2 linked regions of the Schizosaccharomyces pombe genome follow. The protein of the gene in region 1 interacts with the protein of each later gene in a pairwise test. Each region holds a gene or a part of one and is shown in the gene's direction. Other genes may lie near its edges. The genes, in order: pil1 and SPOM_SPAC4F10.17.

The links.
Region 2: the proteins of pil1 (region 1) and SPOM_SPAC4F10.17 interact in a two-hybrid assay, tested with the Schizosaccharomyces pombe proteins (one large-scale study listed by BioGRID).

What each region holds. Positions count from the first base shown.
Region 1 is NC_003421.2:346,432-351,749, forward strand, and holds pil1 (lipid binding protein Pil1), read left to right. Parts: upstream 1-2,127; 5' UTR 2,128-2,740; coding exon 2,741-3,796; 3' UTR 3,797-4,734; downstream 4,735-5,318. UniProt on the Schizosaccharomyces pombe protein: Negative regulator of cell wall integrity (CWI) in unstressed cells, probably by inhibiting protein kinase ksg1/ppk21 activity and regulating their downstream CWI pathways pck2-MAP kinase pathway and protein kinase gad8 pathway.
Region 2 is NC_003424.3:4,866,430-4,869,868, forward strand, and holds SPOM_SPAC4F10.17 (uncharacterized protein), read left to right. Parts: upstream 1-1,946; 5' UTR 1,947-2,158; coding exon 2,159-2,530; 3' UTR 2,531-2,854; downstream 2,855-3,439. Other genes in the region: SPOM_SPAC4F10.16C (P-type ATPase), read right to left, coding at 1-1,681.

The sequences.
Region 1 (5,318 bases):
TGATCCTAGGATTAGCGAACAACGGGGGTACAGTGTAGTTTGGCGTAGTATGGAATAAGTAGGAACGAGTTTGTAGGTTTCCACGTTAAATGCAAAGTACGAAAGAGCTTTTCCACTGATAGATAAACGATGCATAAGGTTATACAGCACGTTATAAGGTATTGCACTATGCATTTTAAAGCAGCGCAGCAATTCGTTCCTTGCAAGATGGGCAAATAAAAACTACGAGGTGATAACAAAACGGTGTATTACTTTGCGAAAGCGAACGTACTGTATTACATTGTTAGTTAGTGTATTACGTTGTAAAATAATGCATTACATTGTAAAATAGTGCATTACATTGCACCTACTGAAATGCCTTGCATTCTGCTACATTTACGTGGTAGCTTACTGTACTACATTGCACTCTACTGCACTGCTTGGCACCCTCTTAACTGTCTGTCCTGCTGCGCACTGCCTTTGCGCACCTTTCCCATACCTCGGCTATATGAGACACTAACTTTATCCAATAGACGATCGCTTCTTGCGGCGTTTGGTTATCGTGCGCGCGCACCGTAGGGAAAGGAGGGAAGCAAGGCAGCGGCGGCAGAGCAGGAGTCTAGTACAGTAAGGCAGCGAGGAGGGAAAAGAAGATTTCCCATATGTCGGGAAGAGAGATTTGAGAGAGGGAGAGAAGTACGGACGGTCGGAGGAGCAGGAGAGAGAAGAAGAGCCATGAAAAAGGAAGTGAAAGTAGAAGGGAACTAGTAGGAAAATAGTAGGGAAATAATAGAGGTATTCTTTTGTTTATTTCGTTTAATTTTATTTTATTTCGTTTTATTTTATTTCGAGTATTCTTTTGTTTATTTATTTTCTTTCGTTTTATTTTATTTCCTTTTGTCGCTCTTTTTTCTCTCTTCTCGTCGCTACTCTAGCATTTCTAGCTATTATCAGTACATCGCCATGCCATGTGCCATGCAATGTTATGCTATGCTATGCCATGCCATGCCCGTTACACTCCCGTGTTCCATTTGGTGCTCCATTCCCGTATTGCCAAAGATAGATATTTCCGTATTCACTCGATCCTCTTCATCTTCCGAATAAACTGATAAAATTGTTGCAAGTATCTAATACTCATTCATAGTCAGCGTCGGCATTTTCTTAAACTCGTTTACAATCATTTCTTCTGAATTCATCTAATTTCTTCTGAACTCATTTCATCTTTCTTTTCTTCATTCTTACTACACTCATATCCCGTTTCACTCACAACTCACTTCTTCACAATATCACTCACTCTCTTTCGCTACTTCTTTTCTCTCTCTCACTTTTCCATTTCTTGTCACCTCGTTCCTTGTTACCTACCCTTGTTGCCTCTAACTTTTACCTTTTCTCTATTCTATTCTCTTTTGTTTTAACCTTTTTTTTTATTTTTGTTTCATCCATATTTATCCATTTATATTATCTTTCTTTCTATATTTATCTTTATCGGTCCATTTATCTTTTGTTTTTTCTCTTGTCTCTCTCTCTCTCTCTCTTACCTTTCTTTCTCTTCTCTACTCTACTCTACTCTACTTTACACTACACTATTCTATCCTAAGCTACTCCATCCTCCTCTACACTATCCTATCCTATCCCATTCTCCTCTGTCCTATCCTCCTCCGTTTTATCCCCTCTATCTCTATTCATTTCTCTACTCTATTTCCTTTTTACCCACTTTGCCTTCCTCTGCTCTATCCTTCTTCAACACACCCATCGTCACTTCTCCCTCTTCTCTCTTTACCACATCCTACCACTCCCCGGCCTATTCATTCTTTTCACTCTCTTTCTTTCTTTCACAACGACGACGCGTTTGTTTACCCCATCGGCCCTTCAACACTCGCTGCCCCCCTCCCCTCCCCCTTCAGCTCCAGTTAACGCGGTGCGCCAAACGCATTGGTCAACATCGCTATCCAGAAAGAAATTCGGTTTTATATTATCGCGAATGGGAACGTCATGTTTACGTGATAGAAGGAATGGACATATCTATGGCAACTGTGGCCAGCAAGCTGACCAAATGATGTTTACCTACTCTTGTTCACTACGGCAAGTGATGATATCATTTTCCCACCTTAGCTTTGTATATATAGACTGGCTCGCTCATTTACCGATACACCTTTATCCATACTCACGTTTTCATTGACTTTAGTCAAAACTTTCTTTTCTTTTTTATCCTTTAACTATACTATACTTTATTATAGTATCCTTTCTCATACCATAGGATATAACATACCTTGGGATATATATATATATATAATCTTTTTTTTTTTTATATATACCCCATCACATTTTTGTTATACCCAGAGAATAGCCGCTAAGCAAAAGTTAAGCTAAGCTAAGTGAATTTGAAAGAAATCCAAAAGGAAAATTTCCTCGTTTTTCCCTTTCCCCAAAAAAAAATCCCGACTCCTTTCCATTTTTTCATATAGTCGACAAATTTTTTTATTTTTGGGCTTTTTTTATACACACTCTCTCTATCTAACTATCTATCCTATTTAACTATATACCCACGAAATTTCGTATCGCCCTTTGGTAAAGTGTTAAACATTTTTCGTCCTACTCTTTTTTTTTTACTTATAACTCGTCCTCTCTCTACTAAATTATTCTCACTATAATTGTTCTTATTAGTATCATCACATACTAATATACTACTACTACTACCACTTATTTTTATTATTACTACCATCTCTTCTTATTTACCCACATCTATTTCTATTTCTGCAAGATGATGAACCGTGCGTACTCTTTAAGAAACAGCCGTGCCCCTACGGCCTCACAATTGTTAAACCCCCCTCCTCCCTCCTCTTCCACTCGTAGTGGTCGTTTGTTTGCCCCCTTGAGTCATACCATGCGTATCAACCACGCTGCCACCTTCACCCCTGACTTGGCTAAGCGTTTGGCTGTCTTGGTCAAGATGGAAAAGAACGTGATGCGCAGTATGGAGGTCACCATCCGTGGCCGTCGTGATTGTGCTCGCCAACTTTCCTACTGGGGTGAGGACTGCGATGACGATATCAGCGACGTCACCGACAAATTGGGTGTCTTGTTTTACGAGATGGCCGAGTTGGAGAACTACTTGATCGATCGTTATGACCAATACCGTATGACGTTGAAGTCCATCCGTAACATCGAGTCCTCTGTCCAACCCTCTCGTGAGAAGAAGCAAAAGCTCTTGGATCAAATCTATGCTCTTAAGCATAAGGATCCTGAATCCCCTCGCTTGGTCACCATGGAGCAAGAGCTTGTTCGTGAGGAGGCTGCCTGTTTGGTTGCCGAGGCTCAACTTTCCAACACCACCCGTGAAAAGTTCAAGCAAGCCATGACCTTCAACTTGGATGCCCTCCACGAGCATGCCGAGAAGCTCAACCTCATTGCCACCTATGGCAGACATTTGTTGAACTTGATTGACGACACCCCCGTCACTCCCGGTGAGGCTCGTCCTGCCTACGATGGTTATGAGACTTCCCGCCAAATCGTCATGGATGCTGAGCACGCCTTGAGCTCTTGGGTTCCCAGCCAACCCGCCGTCAACTTTGTCAAGCCTCAAATCGAGGATGATGCCCAAAGTGACGCTCGTTCCTGGAACGAGTATGAGGCTCAAGGTGAGCCCGTCCCCGTTGAGCAAGTCACCCACTTACAAGACGACGTTCAATCCGACACTAGCGAGATCATTGAGAACGAGCCTGGCATGCACCCTCATGTCCATGCTGAGCGTATGTCTCGCATTGCTTCTGAGTCTAGCGATGCCGTTCCTCAGCAAACCGCCGTCCAGGTTGCTTAAAAAAACTCTTTACTTTTTTTCTATTTGTCGTCGTGGAGAGGGAAATTGCAGTGTCAAGCGAAAATAAAAAAGAAATTTCTTGAAAGCTTATCGTAATCCCATTTGGGCTTTTTCGTGACTTTTTCCTTTTTGGATGGATTGATGATCCCAGAAACAATCGTTACTGACAAACGATAATGGGTTTATGATATTCTTCCTTCGTTTGTCGACTCTTTTTTACTACTCTTTTCCCCAGGTCCTTGTTTGGTCATAATTTATTTTCTTTATTAAAGAATAATTGTATGTGTCATCTGGTTCCTTTCTCTCTTTTCTTTTGTCATAGAAGGAAGAAGGAAGGTGGTGTATGATTGAATTGCTTCGACGAAATTGGCGTTTAAAAAAAAAGACAGGCTAAAGGCATTGCAAATTCCACACCTCTCGTTTTTTATAAAGAGTTATGAAAAAATGATGCGGACGGATAAAAGTTTGTTGAAGGTGTGGTGGTATCTATCTATCTATCTATCTATATTCCCTTTGTGGACGGAATAGAGAAAGATTTGTTTGATTGAATGAAAGGGGTTAAAAAAACGTCAAAAGTTTTCAATATTTGTTGGTTGTGTTTTTGTTATCCATGGAAAAAAAATTTTTTAAACTGTCTTTTTTTCTCCCCTTTTTCCTTTTATTTTATTTTATTACAATCGTGGATATATGTTGCTTTGAGAATTCAATCGACCGAGAGTTTGATTGGTTTATTTTTTTCGTCAGTGACAGGTATGAGCTGAAAGAAAACTTAATTTAATAAGCTGGCGTGCGCGAAGGAGAGCATGTTAGACGGAAACCCTAGTTTGCTCATAGCTAAGAAACTGTTCAATTTTTACATAGTTATTATAAGGCGGAGATGTCGCAATTATTTTATTATTATACCTTTTATTATAATTATTATTTTATTTGTTTTTATATGTTGCTGCTATTGCTATCGGAGGAAGAAAAAGACTCTAGACTGGCTTGGCTTGGCTGGCTGGTGGTGTGAGAGGGGGAATTTGAAGAAAGTGTGTTTTGCTTTTAGTGGGTTTAGCGTAGCTATTATTTTGTTGGTAGTATGATGGATATTTGTGCCAGCTTGGCTAGTCTTTTGCACGTGAAGGATGATGTACTTCGTTGCAAAGAGCCTTTTTTTTTCTTTTTGAGGTAGGTAGATTTGATTAATCTTGAGAATAAGAAACCATAATATGATTGAGAAAAGATGGAAGGCGAGATGGGTAAATTGCAAGGGTAGAATAGTAAAGTGTATTATGAGTTGGAAGTTAGTTAGTATGTTATTATTATTAAGAAGTAATTATTAGAATTAGCAATGCAAGTAGTAGGAATCGATGTATTAGGAGGAGCAGAATTAGGAGTAATAAGCGAATACTTTAGAAGAGGAGTCAATGTCGAAAAAAGAGAAAACAAGGTAAATTATTAACGCCTTTCCAAAATTATTGTTTTACTTTTAATTTAGTTATACCAGAATTGAATCGAAGCTTATGCTACACTTGTGTAAAAT
Region 2 (3,439 bases), on another chromosome or scaffold:
GTATGCTTCTAACAATGTCCATAGTGATATATAGAGAAATCGGCACTAAATTTTGAAAAAGAATGAGGGAAGTGAAAATGCTGATGATGCCATGCGCAGGAGCGGTGTTTGAATTTTTTGATAGCTCAAACACCCTTGCAGAGTTGTTCTGAGCTGAATAGATAGAGCGTAACACACCAGAAAATAAACACATAGCAAACAATAATAGAAAATTGAGAATTATTGTCCAATTCAAGTCACGAGTAATGCGACTTCGTTTAGAAGGAGTTAACCCTCGATTTTTCTGTATGCGAGTTTCTGATCCTGTATATAAAACAAGACCAATAACCCATTTTGAATTTCTCAGAGTACACCCACACAGTAGAACGTTAGAAATACTAAAAGGTTCTTCATGTATTTTTCTTCCGTTTGTACTCTCAGACGGTGATTGCACAGCGCCGGGTGCTTTGACGACACCGTTCAAACTGTACAGATCAGCATGAGGCTGTTCACATTCAACCCAAAAAGATGCCGCACTACACCTATACTCTGATTTACAGCATTTTGTTGAGCATAATGCGTATTTATCTTTCAAATTAGTTTCACCATCAAGGTTTTTTGTTTCCACATAGCAAACACCGTTTGAGTTTTCTGTGCTTAAGATGAGCAAGTCAGCAGGAATCGCTTCATCAGCCAAAACCTTAACGATATCGCCCACAAGCAAACTTTTCCTACACACACGCTCAAATTTGGCATTCGATGAGCCTGTTGATTGTTCCTGGATGACAGAAAAGCTGTTGGAAGGACCACTGTTACCAATCTCATGAATCTCAAGACTATCTTGTGAAACAGATGATAAAGTAAAGGCAGAGTCGGATTCGAGACTGTGCCTGTGGGATATATTATCCACGGTTAAGGTAGCGAGCCCAGATGAGATACCGGAATTTTTAAGGCAATAGGACATATCGGCGACGGTATGAGAAATAAATTTTTTTAATTTTCTCCATAATCCAATATGCTCGCCTAATGCATTGGCATTATTGAACCCTACCAATTTCCAAGTTAAGGTATTATTAAACTTCTTATCAAGAACACATCTCCGATAATCCTCAATTCCATCCTTAATAGCTGTAGTAAGCAAAATAACACTCAAAGGAATAAACGATAAGCCCAGGTGCTCGGGACAAAACAACGGAATACATTGAAGAAGAGTGACAAACAAAAAAAAAGCATTTGCTATGTTTTTAAATTGATTCCAAAGATTTTTGGGGATAAACGAAACTGGAGTATACTTGGTTGTGCGAATTTTATTACTAGGAAACCATTGCGATGGTAAATGCCTGTGTTCTTCTGGAATGCTAGTTACGTAAATTCTGCGAACAGAAGCATCTCCACTTTCGGTCCCAGCTTCATTCTTCTTTGATGTAACACGGCTAGTCCATGACTGATCTGAGTTGTTACACGAACCTTCAAAAGAGTTAGCTTCCTCATCATCCCTCGAACGTTGTTCCGCATGTGCTTCTTGTGAAAACTGGCTTTCGTGATGACGAGAAGAATAATCAGTTTGGTTTGTAGGTCCCTCATGAGCTAATGAGCCATTGTGCTGAGGTACATGGTGTAGATGATTAAAAGCACATATGGATAAGCCATGCAAAGAGGATTTCAATGAACTAATAGCATCAAAATTGATTAGGCTAGGCATCAAAGGGATCTACAATTCCTCAAATTCTTCCCAATCAGTTGCAGAATTACGAACGACTGCAACGTTCGACGATACCAATGACACAACTGGGAAATAAACAGAATTGATATCGCTTACGTACAGAATTAGTTCAATTAAGCTCAAAATTCGGCGTAGAGAAAGTCCTTTGAGGAGGCAAAATGGGTATGGCAAGATGATGTGTATTGATGTAATCCTTAAGTGCTGGGGTGTACTATATATACAGTGCAAAGGGTATGGGTAAAGTAAATAAACGATTTCTCAATAACAACAAATAAAGCATATTTATTGTTGTTTAATTTTTTTCGTCTTGAAAAAGAAAACAGAATTGGAAAATTGCTAAGGCACCATAAACAGATAAAGTATAACGTTTTAGTTCATACCCACTAGCGTTGGTAACTAAAACTTACACAAATTTTATATTTTTTGCTTTATTTTTTTTATCTTCATATTGTTAACATGGCGTTTCGTGCTGCAAGAATTGCTTTCGCTTGGAAGGCAACCAATCCTGCTAATACAACAATTCGTCAATATATAAAAGAAACACTGGAAGAAGCACCTGAGAAAATCAGTCAAACTGTCAAAAAAGCAACTGGTAAGGCTTCGAAAAAGATAGATGAAAACAAAGATAAGTCACCACAGGAAATGGCTGAGAATGCAAAGCAATCGGTAAAGCAAACTGCCAAGGATGCAAAAGATACCGACTATCAGCAAAAGGCGAAAGATGCTGGTAAGAAAATAAAAGAGGAATTTAGCCAACGGTCGGAAAACGTACTCGAAGAAACTCGTCGTGAGGGGATGAATCGTGATGGTGGTGTTAAAAAGGAATAAAGAGGATTCCTTGTAAATGAATCGAGTTAATGTATTGAGTGGAAGCTTGTATACAAGCTCCTTGATGCTCTTTATGATTTTAAAGATGCTTCACGTTTGAAAACATCGCTTTCTTTTTGGATTTATATGAACGAACAATGCATGATTTACAAAACGAAGCTAGAAGATTGTTAATAAACTAAAAATCATAGTTCAACGGTTCCTGGCTTTTATTTACAAAATAAATTCAATTTTTGATGATAGCAAAAAAAAAAAATTTCATGATTTAAATAAGAATGAGATTATCGCGAGATGTGTTAATTATATTCCGGTTGTATAGTCTGGTATTCGTGGCAGTGATACTGCATATTTTGCATTGCCGATGCTAGCCTTAGTATGGACTTGACTGTATGTAAAAACTTTATGGCCCACATGCTGTCAACAGCTACTATGGTCAAATTTAAATTTTGTTATTCTATAGGCCGGATAGTTGTATAAAGGCATTGTAATGGATAATGGTAATAATACTCATTTTGGTCAAACACATTCATGCCATTCTACTCCAGTAAATTCAATGCCGCTCGTTGTAAGCATAGCGATAAATCCCAAAGGCTGTTCAAAGCAATAATTTCAAATTTGTATTGCAACTTGCCAACATTTTTAAAGTAAATAAATTCCGTTATTGTACAGTGACATTCTCATGTTATATACGCTCTACAGTCAATAACATAATATCATTCACCAACATGATAGTACTCGATTGTATTATATTTTACTAGTCTTGAAGCAAGAATAGCCATAGCCCTTGGGTTTTTGAAGTTGCCAAGATTTCGGCTCAGAATGAAATGCCCAAGCTAAGATTTCCGAAGGTTTTTTCAAATTTTCAATATTTACTGCATTTACTCCCTCCACAAAATCTGGTTTATACGA